Linked DNA regions of Oreochromis niloticus. The protein of the gene in region 2 interacts with the protein of the main gene of each other region in a pairwise test. Links are inferred from orthologs where the notes say so. Each region holds a gene or a part of one and is shown on either strand. Other genes may lie near its edges. The genes, in order: aldoab and eno3.

Region 1 (7,302 bases), on a different chromosome or scaffold from region 2:
CGGCCATATGAGAAGGTGAGTGCCCAGGGCTTGTGCAGGGGGCACTGGTTTATGGCGTTCAGGTTGACAGAGGCCTCCTCCTCACTCTGGCCACCAGACAGGAAGGTAATACCTGCAAAGCAGGTAGAGTTTAGCAACCCAGAGTGCAGATCTAATGTAGATTAGTCACAAAAGATTATGTCTAAAAAAGTGGAAAAGTGTGCATATCAGCAAGCGTGTGATGCACTTTCAGCTTACCAGGAACTGCAGGGGGAACGGTGCGGCGCAGGGCAGTAACAGTTGCCATGGCAATCTCCTGGTTGGTGTACTTGTGTGAGCAAGAGTGTCCAGCGGTAACCATGTTGGGTTTGAGCAGGGTACCCTCCAGGTAGACGTGGTGGTCAGACAGGGCCTTGTAGACGGCAGCCAGGACCTTCTCAGTGATGTACTGACAACGCTTCAGGTCATGGTCACCATCAGGAAGAATCTCAGGCTCAACAATGGGGACAATACCATGCTAGGAAAGGCCAGGACACAAGGACAGTGTAAAATAGGAGCTCATATTAAGAAGGCAAGACATGAAATCCAACAGTGAAGACTTTTTAAAATTTAAAAATTTCTGCTTCTGCTATGCTGCCTTGTGGATACTATGATATAGTATTAATTTGGAGAAAAGGTTTTTGAGCTTGTTGGCACATTCTGAGGTTTCCTCATTGCGTGTTTCTAGCCATGCAGGAAGTGTGTGTGTGGCATGATCAAATGAAATGCAGCCATGCAAAAAAGAAACAAGCAAAAACAGCAAAAGTATTTTGTAAAATTCTGTGAAACTGGGTTATCTGTCTATTGTGTCTTACCATCTGGCAGATGCTGGCATAGCGAGCCAGGACATTGGCATTCTCTATGATAGCCAGTCTTGAGGGCGTGGTGGGGGTGATCTTCAGAACACAACGCCACTTAGCGAAGTCAGCACCATCCTTCTTGTACTGGGCGCAACGCTCATAAAGTCCATCGAGACCTGTTAAGAAGGAAAGCCATACACGATACGTTAGATAAAAATATTAAAAGATGATGATGTAATACTGATGATGTCTGGATCTTTTCTGTGCTCACCCTGGGTGGTTGTCTCGCCATTGGTTCCTGCCAGGGGGACAACACCTTTGTCGACCTTGATACCCACCACCATGTCTCTTTCTTTGAGGTATTGAGGGAAAGGCTTGCCATCGTCGGTCTTCTGGTACATGGTCTCATGGAAGAGGATAACGCCACCAATACAGGGACTGATGCGGTTGTCAGCAGTAAAGAGGAGCTGGCGGTACAGCCTCCTGTTCTCCTCAGTGTTCTCAGCATTGATGCTCTGGAAGCGCTTGGCCACACTGCCTGGAGGTTATAGAAACATATCAAATCAGATGGACTATAAAAAAATACTATATTATTAGGTGTTGGAAACCACAGTCTGTCTGCATGTCTGCACATTTGCAGAAGTGTTTCAGTTCAGGTCTGAGAAAACACACACACAATGAAACCAGTTTCAACTGTAGCCTAACTGTGATCCTTAAGTCATGGTTTTTGGCAACTGTTGAGTTGACTGTGCCAAATAACTGATTGTTAGTATATAGGTTCATTTTCTTACCAGTTGACTCATCTGCGGCAAGGATTCCTTTGCCAGGAGCCACAATCTTCAGAGCAATATCATTGAGCTCCTTCTTCTGCTCAGGAGTGAGGAAAGGGTATGCGTGAGGCATCCTGACTCTTGATATAAATAAAGGGAAGACAAAAATTTGAGAAATTAATAATGAACAGGACACAGAGATTATACATTTTTACAGTGTGCCAAGTCGAAAGGTTATACTGCTCTGCATATCTGCTTTTGAGTGTAACAGTTTCAGGGTATATGTGTGGGAAACTGCTAGATGAAAGGAGAACAGAACATCGGGTTCATTGTGTGAAGGAAGTGGTAAAAAAAAAACAAAAACGTCTGGCTCATGGTTTTCCTGTCAGACTATCTTTTGCTAAAACAACCCAGGCCAGCTTGTGTCCTACATGCGACAGCAGCTGTTTAAGCTTTAACTGCTGCAGCAGCTTGTGCACTGGTTTCACTCTACTCCCCAGGCACAATATGTAGCCTCACAGAGGATCCAGTGTCAGAGAACTTCCACAGATACCCCCCCCCCCCCCCCTCCCCCCCCCCCTCCACCACCACCACATGCCCCACCCTCCATGCATCTGACCACCCTTAAAAAATCGTGTGCACGTCCGTGACCTATTCCATTTTCTAGCCTCTTATCCCTGACCTTTCCATTCCCCTCCACAGCCCCCCTTCCCTCACCATTCCGCTTGACTGGCCTCCTATCGCATACCTCCTCCAACTGTCACCCTGTCGCCACTATCAATACGTTAGACTAAATATACCCAGTGTACCCAGTATACTGCTTGCATGAGGCAGTGAGTGCACTGTAGCTCATGTAGCATGAAGGGGCTGCAAAAAAGAAAATGTGCAGTGTTACACCCCGCTGTTGATGAGGCATGCCACATTGCAGAAGGTAGTTTAGATGAATTGATCCAGTAAAGCAAGAAATTAGTCAGACTATTGAGTCACCCCACCAATGTGCCAATGGAAACTTTGCATCAGATAAAGCTAGGTGACTGAAGTTTACCAAAAATGATCAGCTTTGTTTAATGTCAAGGGAGAATCATTCTCACAGTTCATCACAATCATTATTTAGTGTTGTTATACTATAGAAAAGGATGAGATATTTTCATCTGTATAGCATCTGGTTCACTGAGGTAATGAAAAAAAAAGACGCACACTTGCATTTAACCAACAGACATGAACCTGCGGGTTTCACTGATATACTTCGAGCTAGTCATGTTAACCACACAGTTGTGAAAGCTACAAGAAGATGCATAACACTGTTTTTATTTTAATTCTGGTATACAGGTCATAAGCCTCTCATTATGCCAAGGCTTTATAACATAACATTCAATAGCTAACCAACAAATCCACTTAAAATGCTGTTTTCTTCATGGGCATGAATTCAATCTTTTACCTTTGAGGTTGCGAGGAGAGCTGAGAGAAGAGAGAAGAAGGGAGAAGATCCGGCCTTCGTCTGTGACACCCCTGCAGTCCTGCTGGCCCTTGTATTTATCCTCCCATTGTGACCCCTCACATTTCAGCTGCCCAACTATAAAAAGAACAGGATGCAACCAGAGATGGCTTGTGACATTCAGCAGGACTGGGGCTGGAGTAACGTGCTAGCGAGCAGCCACTCAAAGGGCAAAGAGTGTTTCAGTGAATGGCACAAAATGCGATGGAATAACAGGCAGTTAGGGTTTAGATAAAGTCCAGATAGATGGGTAATGAGTAGACGATATTATCCAGAAATGTCTAGGGAAGAATGGCATGGCGCAAATTTGCCTACTATGTAAGTGTTTCTTACACTCTCCTTAAATGAAATTATGCATCTTCCAAGCACATCCTTTACATTCTGTCTTATATGAAACATTTTATTTGGCTGCAGTTATTTTAAAATGCGCTGCCTCACCAAAGAAGAACATCTAATATCCAGAGGTCATTTGAAATAGTATGTGAAGGAAGATAAATTTGGGGGTATATGTAGAATGCACTAAATATGTGTGTCTGCGTGCACACAGACACACACAGAAAAAGAGTGAGAGTGAGAAAGGGTTGAGCATGTTGCAACATTGCCAACCCGCCTTTAGAAATCCAAACCAGACGCAGCAACACAGCACACTGATCCTTGACCTTTTCTCAACCTTTCTTGATCGTCTGTGCTCTGCAGGAAGAGGTCAACCGCCAAGCTAGGGAAAGGTTGCAGGTTCATATTTTCGGGGCACATTGCACTTTGCATCTGTTTCTGTGTCTCTCACTCAGCTCATGGGAAAGCACGAAACAGACACATGAAAAGACATAAAATTTTGCAACTCGGATGTTCTCACATTTTCAGACTTTGGGTTTTGTAGTGCACACTACACTTTTTTAGTGGCACGCACTTGCCGTAAAAGAGACCAACTTCCTGACAGGAGGGCTTGTGGGCTGAACAATGCAACAGGAATAGACGTGTTAAGTCGAAATGTGAACAAGCAAATTCAACTTACTAGTCAACTACAGGGAAAGTAATAGTCATAATGTTAGATGTTCAACATTCCCTTTTCTTATTTACAATTTAACGTGATAAACAAAAAGAATTTTATCAGACTGACCTCAAATTTTCAGCAAAGAATTTATCTTAGACCTGCTAATGAGGCAGATGATTTTATTTAAATGTTAACATTTTAATTACATTTAAAACAATTTCATCTGGTTGTCCACATATTAATAAACTATCCAGTTGGTTTACTGTTATACTATTGTTTAAGAAAATTAGAGCTTAAACTAAATTAAAAGTTGGCCACACACCACCACAGCTGCTGCTGTGTTTTACTCCTCCTTCCTCTACAGATGCCTTGGCTTTGATCAGTCACCTGATTATTTCTGCTTTTTGGCTCCTTCTTACACGCTTTTAGCAGAAGTGGCAGTGAAAATTAAAAATAAAACCAAATATCACAGTTAAAATTATTTTCCATGGGAGTAACACAATGAACTGGATACTTAGTTCTACAATATTCTTGTCAGGTAAGACAGTTTGTGCTTTTTATCTTTCATTGTCTAGTTATGCCTTCATTTTAAGTAAAATTACGCACTTAGCTGAACAAATATTTATTGAAAACCTGCAGAATGCTATAATAAGTAACACCCTATTATGGAGCAGTATGTCTGTTGTGCTCATTTCCTTTTTTTTCTCTGTGAATCAAACTTACTGAGACGTGTGATCAGCCCAGTTAGTTTCAGAGTGTAAAAATAGCTTAATGAGTACAATATTTTAATTGCATTTCACCTCTAGCATGCACTTAGTGAAAAACCCTTTCATAAATAATTTTCCAAAATTAAATTCTTGATTATTAATCCACAATAAATATGTAAATGCTAAATCACAAAAAATTCTGTGTTAATGCAATCATCACATATTTGAGGCCTGTTTTCAGTGTCATATTGTACTTTTTGATCCTGTGATGAATAATCTAACTAACACTGTGTTGACAAGAATTAAACTTGAGGGCATGGCATTGTAATAAAATGTTTTAATAAATTTACTTTTCAGGGGGTTATGAAACCGTTTAATGTTTTTTCTTTATATTCATCACTAATTACATTAGATTCTCACTGAAGGCATCAAAACTATAAATGAGCACATATGGAATCATGTAGTAAACCAAAAAAGTGTGAAATAACTCAAAAACATGTTTTATAGTTTAGATTCTTCAAAAATATCCACCCTTTACTTTGATTACTGCTTTCCACACTCTTGGCATTCTCTTGATGAGCTTATTGGGGTCGTCACCTGAAATGGTTTTCCAACATGCTGAACACTTGTTGGCCCTTTTGCCTTCACTCTGCGGTCCATCTCATTCCAAACCATCTCAACTGGGTTTAGGTCAGGTGACTGTGGAGGACAGGCCATCTGGCACGGCACTCCATCACTCTCTTTCTTGGTCAAATAGCCTTTACACAGCTGGAGGTGTGTTTGGGGTCCTGTTTTCAAACAAATGATGGTCCAACTAAATGCAAACTGAATGGGATGGCATGTCGCTCCAGGATGCTGTGGTAGCCATGCTGGTTCAGTGTGCCTTCAATTTTGAATAAATCCCCAACAGTGTCACCAGCAAAGCCTCTCCCACACTATCACACCTCCTTCTCCCCGTTTCACGGTGGAAGCCATGCATGCAGAGACCATCCGTTCACACTCACCAAAGACTCAGCAGGTGGAACCAAAGTTCTCGAATTTGGACTCGTCAGACCAAAGCACAGATTTCCACTGGTCCAATGTTGATTCCTAGTCTTTCTTGGCTAAAAAAAAATCTCTTCTGCTTGTTGCTTTTCCTTAGTCGTGGTTTCTTAGCAGCTATTTGACCATAAAGGCCTGATTCACACAGTCTCCTCTGAACAGCTGATGTAGAGATGTGTCTGCTACTGGAACTCTGTGTGGCATTTATCTGGGCTCAAATCTGAGGTGCTGTTAAATTGCGATGTCTCAGGCTGGTGACTCAGATAAATGTATCCTCAGCAGCAGAGGTGACTCTTGGTCTTCCTTTCCTGGGGCGTCCTCATGTGAGTCAGTTTCATCAAGTGCCTGATGTTTTGTGCGACTGCACTTGGGGATACATTTAAAATTTTAGCAATTTTTCGGAATTACTGTCTTCAGTTCTTGAAGTAATGATGGACTGTCGTTTCTCTTTACCTAGCTGAATGGTTGTTGCCATAATATGAATTCTAACAGTTGTCAAATAGGACTGTCAGCTGTGTATCTACCTGACTCCTGCACAACACACTGACTGATGGTCCCAATCTCACCAAGAAGGCAAGAATTTCCCCAAATGAAATCTGACAAGGCACACCTGTGAAGTGAAAACCATTTCAGGTGACTTCATCATGAAGCTTATTAAGGGAAGGCCCAGGGTTTGCAGCGCTGTCAACAAAGGAAACGGTGACTACTTTCAGGAATGTAACATATAATACATATTTAGAGTTATTTATAATTTTTTTCTTTGCTATATAGTTCCATATATCGTGGATATATTTGATGTCTTTAGTATGTCTCTACAATGTTGAGAGTACTAAAAAATAAAGAAAAACGATTAAATAAGAAAGTGTGTCCAAACTTTTGACTGTATATATGGAATTTAAGACATAAAATTGACTCCAAATTGAAGTCTTGAGTGTGTTTTACAAGAGAATAATTCCTCTGAGTTCTTAGAATTTAAAAATATCTAGCTTATGTGCTCTCTAGTGGTAATAAAAGATCACCCACTGAGGCAGACCTCAGTTCAAACTGCTACACTCCAACAAAATTAAAGAGAAACACAGACTCTATACAATTTTCTGTATGTGGTATTTAACAGAAGTGCTATAATCACATTAGAGTTTTTTTTTTTTTTTTGCTTCTTTAATTCTCAGTGTTAAATCCTGCGCTTTCTTTCAATATTGATCCTGGGGCTTGGAAGACCCTGAGTAGCTCTGCTGCTGGTTTTGGGTACAAGGTGATTCAAAGAAAATCAGAGTAAGTCACAAGACACATTGATAAAGTGTTATCACACATACACACAGTGTATCACACATACACACACATACATGTTTGTTAAATGTAGGCTTGCAATTGGACTATTTGCTTTTTAGGAATATTGCTATTTATTACTAATTTTCTTCTAACAAACATCATAATAGGTTAGTTAGTAATAAATAAACAAACATGCAATATTTCTTAATAG
Region 2 (7,761 bases):
CCTGCACTCCTGACTGGCAGCTACAGGGCTCAACAGGAGAGAGGGACAGACCATTCTGCAGACACGAGGGGGAGGTCATAGTCTGCGTGGGTTATTTATACCAACACCAGCCGTGTAGGAGCCTTTGACCTTTTCCCTGACCTTTCTGCAGAGGTCATGACTTCCTCCCTGCTGTTCTTCAGTTACACAGACTCTTATTAATGCTTCTGACATTTGAAGAGGTATTTGTGACTGAGCTGATATTAGCCTCCGCTGTGCATGACCCACTTCACAGCTGAAGGACTGGGCTTTATCTGGTTGCTAGGTTTGATACAGTAAACTCTGATTCTGTGCACACCGAGATAAGCTCCCGTAGTAAAAGTGTTCTGGTCCAACTGTGTGAGCAGGTTCAGAGCGTCCGTCACGTCTGCTGTGTTTTATGTAAGAGTGTTTGGGCAGATGCCAGCTGAACAGCTGAGCTCTTACAGTACACTCCAAACCCCTGATGGCCTTTACAAACACTGTACACATGCTCAGAGTTTAACTTGGCTGCACTTCAGTGTGGGTCAGCCAGCCTCTTTCAGATCTGCAGGTCTGCTTTCACACTGAATAAACTCACTATAACAGCGGCAGTCTGACAGAGGCTGTTAAATACCCATGCAGATGTATTAAAGTGTTTTTCCTGTACACAGCTTGGGTACATTTGAGCACCAAGACTTTGGACTTGACATAGAATCAGAACAAACAGATAAGTCACTGAAATCAGTGACACTTTTAGGGGAAATCTGTTAAAACCCAATTTTTTGTCATGAGTCGAAGGTTAAACGTCTCAGGCAGATGGAACAAGGCCTGTTCGTGCTGGGTGTGCTGAAAGCTGAGCAAATTTACACTGACTGAGGACACTTAAATGCACACCAACTAATCATTTCACACAGTCTTCTCATGTTTCTTGAAAAGCCAGTCACAATAACACTGACCACTGAAAACAGCTTTTGTGTAGCTGTGTTCATCAGGACTTTCAGCTGTGCAACTCAAGACACTCGCCTCTGCAGCTTTTGGCTTTAACGCCATACAGGAGGATATAACTGACACTTCTTCTAGAGGACTTCTCAGAATGCAAAGCCAATCATATATTATTAAAGTCAATCCTTGTAAGGATTTCATATTCCTTACTAGACTGATTTAAAACAAGCGTCTCAGCTCAGTGAACGCCCTCCTCTCAAACCCCAGTTTAACCCCTGACAGGCTCACCCAGAGAGGTTTGGACCTTCTGAGAAGAAGAGTTACCAGGATTGGATAAAGCCATTTAACAGTTTTGTAAGTGGAGTTTAATTTAATCAAACATGTGTTTATTGGTTTAGAGATAAAATGATTAGAAAGGCAACTCACTGAGTTTTACTACATGCAGGCCAGTTGTGCCAAGTTAGCCTTTAAACAAAATGCCCAGAGACATCCTCAGAGATAAAAACCACACAGCAGTGACGTTTGTTCAGTCCTAATGGATGCTGGTCATCATTAGGAGACATGACCAGCCCGAAACAAGTTTGCAACCATGTTAAACCATGTGGTCGACCAGCAAGGGGCCAAAATGCATTCTGGTCTCAGCTGTGAATACGTTCCAGTCTGTGAGTAAGAAGGCTCACATGGTTTAAAGACTTCAGAACAAAACAGTGAAGCCACGATTACGCTGCAGTAGGTGTAGTGAAACTGCCCGTCCATCTGTGGAGAGCATTTGATGGAGACTGCACCAAGTATATGGTAGTAGTGAGCTGCTCCTGCTCAGACTGTAGGTCCGTCAGTCAGCTGTGGAGAAGCATGTGTTTGAACACAAACTGGTTCACCAGTATGTAATATATATTTTTTCATCTCAGACCACTGAAGGACAGTGGGGAGGGGGCTCAACTTTGACATGGTCTATATCTATAATTAGCACAATAGCTTTTAGTCCATGAGCGCTCACTTTGTAGTTATATTTACAGTGATGCATTTAAAGGGATGGACTAGTCCACCCATGGCTGCTTTGATACAGAAACATCATTTTGAAGGATTAGTGCCCCACTCCCCCCAGCACCACACCCCTGTCTCCCAGACCCCTGAGGGGAGGACACGCCTCATTTTGAGGTGCAGAGTGGCCATTTGACACCCAGCAGGTCCTGTGATCACCTCTGATCATTAGATTTGCGTCAAGTCTGCTGCTAGAACATGTGGGACAAATGAAAACAACTTTTATTGGCTGAGTGATCCTGAGCAGCCACGCAGCAGGGCAGATTTAAGGACACTTTGTTTCAGCCTGAATGAACTGCTGCAGTTGTTCAGGCTGCTCAACAAACAGGAAATGAACCAATAACATAAAATGGCTCAGTAAGAGTAAAAGTTATCACACATCATTATCGTTACGCTACAGATGAAACAAAGTCACTCAACAAGTAGAAAGTCAACAGAAGTCTTTTCAAAATGCAATAAAACCCCTTTCTTTAAAGTGAAGAGTCAGATTCAGGAAGTGTTGCTTGGAGTTTATGTAACCTGCTTAAATGTGTCCAGTTCTGAGCTCAGGGGGAGTTATAAATGCTAAAGATTCAGATTTAAAGCTCCCTGTGAGCACATGGAGGGTGTCCGTCTGTCTGCGGACTTTGAGCCTCTCACGTCTGTCTGTCAGCTCTGTGACCTTCAGCCCACCCAAAGTCAAACCTTTCAAACTGTGTTCCCCTTCCTGCCATAAACAGGAACAAAATGAGCCTCCAGAACAGGAACTCATTTGAGTTAACACCTCAGGAGAACTTCTGCAAACTGAACTTTCAGAGTAAAAGTCTAAAAAGCATGTCACCAAACCAGAAGCAGACTGAGGCGGAAACGAACAGGAAGTTATTTAAAAAACCTCCAAGCAGAGCCCTCAGCCGCCTACCATCCCAGCTTACCTGTTCAGAGGCAGTGAGCAAGAAGAGGGGGTCGTCTGTCTGACTGTCCGACTGTCCGACTGACGTGGAAAGTGTCTGTCTGTCCCCCAGCAGGGCTTTTATAGCCTCTCCCTGCAGCTGCAGCAGAAGGAGGAGGAGGAGGAAGCAGGGAGTGTGTGCATGTGACAGGACGGAGGCAAACAGAAAAACCTCCCAGCTGTAGTTAATCATCAGATCTTCACTGCTGTTTGCCGTCTCCAAGCATAATTATAAGAGCCTTAATCTGAAGCTGTGTAAGTTTCTATGAGGACTGCAGTCCTAGTGTAACACGCTCAGATATGTAAATAGTTCCAGTCTCTTCCTGAACACACACATTTCTAGTGCTTCCCAAAGAACCAGCAGTGTAACACAATCCAGGAAGTCTTTAAACTCAGGTACAATGAATGTTTCTGTTCGTCAGTTGCTCTGAAATAAGAGCTTAAAGACTTCAGGGGACATGGATGCACTGGAGCAACAGTGTGATATAATCTTTGTCTAACCCAAAAGTCATTAAGTGCCCGTGTTACTGCAGCCAAAACATTAAACACAGCCTGCAACACCACAAAGCAAAGGCTTAATAATGCAGAAGAGCTCAGGTAAATAACAAAATACATACGCAATAATAATGAAAATTAAATGGAAAAGTCTGAAAATAATGTAAGAAATGTATAAAACCACCTCATTAATAGTAATAATAAATAATAATAAGGACCTGCCGTGCCGCTTTAAAAGTAAATGCTCTTTGATTTTATATCTGCAGAGACGATTTGAATCCAGGAAGTGCTGCGACTCGAACACTCGAGCGCTATCATCTCTGTTTAATTTAATGCTTTCAAACACAAGAATCATTAAACAAATGTGGCTCTGTGTGCATGATCTAATCTAAAACTTTAAAATCACTGTGACGCTCACAGCCAGACGAAACCCAGAGCTCAGGCTCATCTGAGGGAAAACATCACATCACATGTTAATTTGTCAAATAAGCAGTTTGTTAATGTTTAATATTTATTCAGAGGAAAACCTAAAGAAACTAAATCACTGATGACAGAGGACGGCCTTTACTCTGAGGAAGCTGTCAGTGTGCTGAGCATGTGGAGGCTAAATAAAAAGAGGCGTTTGTTTTGTCCTAGTGGGCACTCCAACTGTTTAAACCGATTACTTTTAAGTAAAAGTTACCCAGTTAAACTCTGTTATGTGGTCCCTCATCTTTAAAGGGCAAAAAGGTGTTTCTTATTCTGACTTTCATTCAAAAATACACATAATAAAAAAAACTGGAACCTCTTAAATTCCCTTTTTTCAGGTTTGATTTCTGCTGTTTTCATGTGTCTCCTTTGTGTGTACCTGATTTTATTGTGCTTAAATGCAAAGATGTTAAAGGTGTTTACACCTCAGTGGTTTACTGGTTTAGTGTTTCAGTCCCATCTGTGATTAGAAAACTTGTATCTTTCGTTGACAGCAGTAGAAACCTGCAGTCATTTCAGGCACACAAGCTTAGACTGGTGAGGTTTAACGACTGCATCTGCATATTTAAATTGCACTAAAGCTTAAAGTTTGCATTTTTAGGGGCGTGGCCTCTTTGACTCACAGGTGGATGGCGACACAGGCAGCTGCAGCAGCTGATCACTGAACACATGTACAAGTTCAGAAAGGTTTAAAAATACAGCCCAACTGTTAAAATCCAGCAGACCGATTAAATAAAATGATTTAGTTCATCATTGTTGTGAACTGGTGTGACATGAACATTCACAGAGGACTTTCCTCCTAAACAAAAGCCACAAAAGAAACACAAATTTAAATTTCTACCATAATGCGATGAAAAAAGGCACAAATTAGTTCAAAACGTCACAAGAATGAAGGAAAAAAAGTCTTTTTGTGGGGCCCAGTTTTACTCTGTGTGCTGAATGACTATTATGTTGTGGGGTGAACAAGAGTGATGGTCCCTAACGCCCACAGAGAAGGTTGAAGTTCATCTAAAGGGGAAATGTGAGACCAGCTCAGCATTCACTGCAAAGGGCAGTAACCCCAGCACACACACACCTTACCCTTTACGCTCACCTTTAACTGTACTTCACACACACCGAGTGGCTACACGGCGGCCTGTCCAGCGTCCCCGGTGCCTTTACTAAATATAACTGCACTTTACTGGAGTGGTGGGGGAGGGGCACACTCTGTATATGACACATAGTGTAAGTTCTCCTGCAGTGCTGCATTTATCTTACTGTCTGTGTCAGTAAAGTGGAAGTTTGTCACTTCTACTTCACCGTGACATGTAACTGTAGTTCTGGAGCAGTACGAGTGGGCTGCAGTACTATAGTAACAAAATCACGTTGCACTAGAAGTTCACAATTTTATATTTCAATAATACTACTTTTAGTTGTACTACTCTTAGCAGTAATCATTTATGTTGCATTTTAACCACATACACAGATGTTTGTTTTTATACACCTGTGGGGACCCGTGTTTACAAAGGTCTCCAACTAAAAGGTGAACAGCAGGGTGTTTGTAAGAGTTTTTGGCTGGTGCCATGTTGATCTTTTTAGAGTCTGGCGTGGCCATGTTTGGATGAGAGTTTGGAGTGCTAAGTTATGACCTTATGCCATCTTGCAGGGTTATAAAGCCGCGTCCATGGACTGAATGAGTGCACCACACAGGCACAGATATCTGAAGTTCACTTATTAAAAGTAGAGCTCAGCCTTTTGGGCATCTTGTGCAAACATGTTTACTTCAGTTCTACGTTTGGACATTTTAACTTGGGAGATCGTGGGGACTGAATTACTGTTGGAGGCCCGAGTGGACATTACAGGAACTGCAGTTTTTAGCATTTCAGCTCTTGTCTACAGGTCAGAGGTCAGCCGATCTGTCCCTATAAAGCACATTCATTACTAGTGTGCCTGCCGCACACATAGGCCTGTGTTTGGTCTGTGTTTTCAAACATTTTATAAGCTAAGGTATATTTTCCTGTTTCTTCAATTAGAAGATATTCGCAGCTGCCTTAAAATAAAATTTTCTTTGAAAGAGTGCATCATACAAAGCTCTAAAGTCAGCCACACCTCCTCACTGAGTTATACTTTTATTCCCCTTCTGCTTAGTTTTCCTCTAAATTACTTTTAAGCTGTCTGTGCTGATATGTTTTAGGCTAACGAGGTTTCTGTGAGAACTATAAGGATCTTTATGCATATGGGACCTAATTTAAAGGGTGAGTTTAAGGAGAGGGGCCCTGAGAAGAAGTCATTTGTGGGCGGCTATGCTTGGTATATTTTTACCATGTGACTTTTAAATAAAAATAAGAGCACATTTTTACATTATAGGGATATTTCAGAGAGTCCTCATGCCTTTGAAAGACTAAAGAGCCATGATAAGCCTCTGGGTTAGCATGTGCCCACACATGTGTAGGATGACACGTGTCTGGGCTTGTACAGTTTTCATTGTAAGAGCCATTTTTAGCTTGAATCCAAAATAATGCGAATGTTTCTACATTATGAGAATTTTTTTCAGTCATTGTCACATACACACCGACAGTTAACCCAACACATGTGTTTTTGGACTGTGGGGTGAAGCTGTAGTTCCCCTAGAGAACCCAAACAAGCACAGGGAGAACAAACAAATTCAGTCTGGCCTGGTTTTGAGGTGGAGGGCATTTTTTCATCCTTTTTTATAAAGCCACAAAAGCCTTTTCTGCTTCATAGTACAGTGTGAGGGGAAGGGAGGCGGGAGGTGTGAGGGTTCATATCTGGTTTTGGAGTCAGTTAGTTTTGGACTTGACAAGCCAGTATGTTAATGTGTACAAAAAGAAATGTGGATGTGTGGGCGCATACCTGTGCATGAACCTGTGCAGGTTTTAAACCAGAATAATGAAGACATTCAGCATGTGATGACATTTATGTATGAAGAGGAAGTTTTGTATTTTATGGAAAAGTTGGCCTTTTCTCCTTCAGAGCACTCTTTGAACACAAACGTGGCTTTGAGGTTCAGGTTTAGATCAGGGGACTTGATAAGGCAGTAAGTCAATATGGGTCCACACTTATGCAGAAAGACAAACGTGTGTGTATTGTTTAAACGCTATATAAGCTCTAACAAACAGTTGTGCGTAATACTAATACTACAACTTGTTGTGGCATATTTAATCAAATATTAGGTGTGATGCGTGTATATGAGTGCACTAGACTGTCTTATTTTTTTAGCTGTGTGTCGCACAATAAATCAGCCCCTGAAGAAGAGGTGTTTGTAGAAAACATTTGTAGAACACAAGCTGTAGCGCACACACACACACACACACACACACACATATAAAGACACCCTCAGAATGTAAGTATAACCATGTTTGTTTTTATTTAATTCAGGTGTGCAATGAGTTTTCACAGAGCTCTGATTGGACGCTGGTCAATCGCCACTGTAGAAAAATAATGGTAACACTGTGTTCCTGCGTTAAACATGACGTGTACTCTCAGGTTAAAAGCTACCACATGCTAACTTAGACCAGAGAAAACACTCTGATTCATCTCTACAGCAGGAAACACACCTGAAGATTGAAAATGACTTTAAAAAAAAAAAAAAAAAAACTAAAGAAGCTCAGATATAGAAACACAGGGAGGCAGGAGGTGGCATCCATCTCGTGAGATGAAGGTGGTTGTCTTGTCCTAATAACCAGCCTTCCTCAGGTACTCAACGATTTTGAACACCTTGCTGGATACCTGACCACCAGAGGCGTCTTTCGTGCCCTTGGCTATGACTATCGCTGTAGAGACAGACAGGAAGCAGGAGTGTGTCAGCCTCAGAGGTTTGGAATGAATTCAAAGGATAAAAATGTGCTGAGTCAACGGGAACATCTTACCTGTTTTTGCCTTTCCGA

What was found.
Region 1: the proteins of eno3 (region 2) and aldoab interact in a two-hybrid assay, tested with the Homo sapiens proteins (2 studies listed by BioGRID and IntAct, with this or other methods). The link is inferred for Oreochromis niloticus from reciprocal best matches to the Homo sapiens genes ENO3 and ALDOA.

Annotation. Positions count from the first base shown.
Region 1 is NC_031973.2:16,919,416-16,926,717, forward strand, and holds the start of aldoab (fructose-bisphosphate aldolase A), read right to left. Parts: upstream 3,162-7,302; 5' UTR 3,027-3,161; intron 1,729-3,026; 5' UTR 1,722-1,728; coding exon 1,610-1,721; intron 1,357-1,609; coding exon 1,090-1,356; intron 995-1,089; coding exon 834-994; intron 497-833; coding exon 238-496; intron 113-237; coding exon 1-112. Other genes in the region: integrin alpha-M, read left to right, coding at 4,576-4,612, 6,992-7,094. UniProt on the Homo sapiens protein: Catalyzes the reversible conversion of beta-D-fructose 1,6-bisphosphate (FBP) into two triose phosphate and plays a key role in glycolysis and gluconeogenesis. In addition, may also function as scaffolding protein.
Region 2 is NC_031967.2:79,649,259-79,657,019, reverse strand, and holds the start of eno3 (beta-enolase), read right to left. Parts: upstream 3,053-7,761; 5' UTR 2,895-3,052; intron 1-2,894. Other genes in the region: pfn1 (profilin-1), read right to left, coding at 7,550-7,647, 7,744-7,761. UniProt on the Homo sapiens protein: Glycolytic enzyme that catalyzes the conversion of 2-phosphoglycerate to phosphoenolpyruvate. Appears to have a function in striated muscle development and regeneration.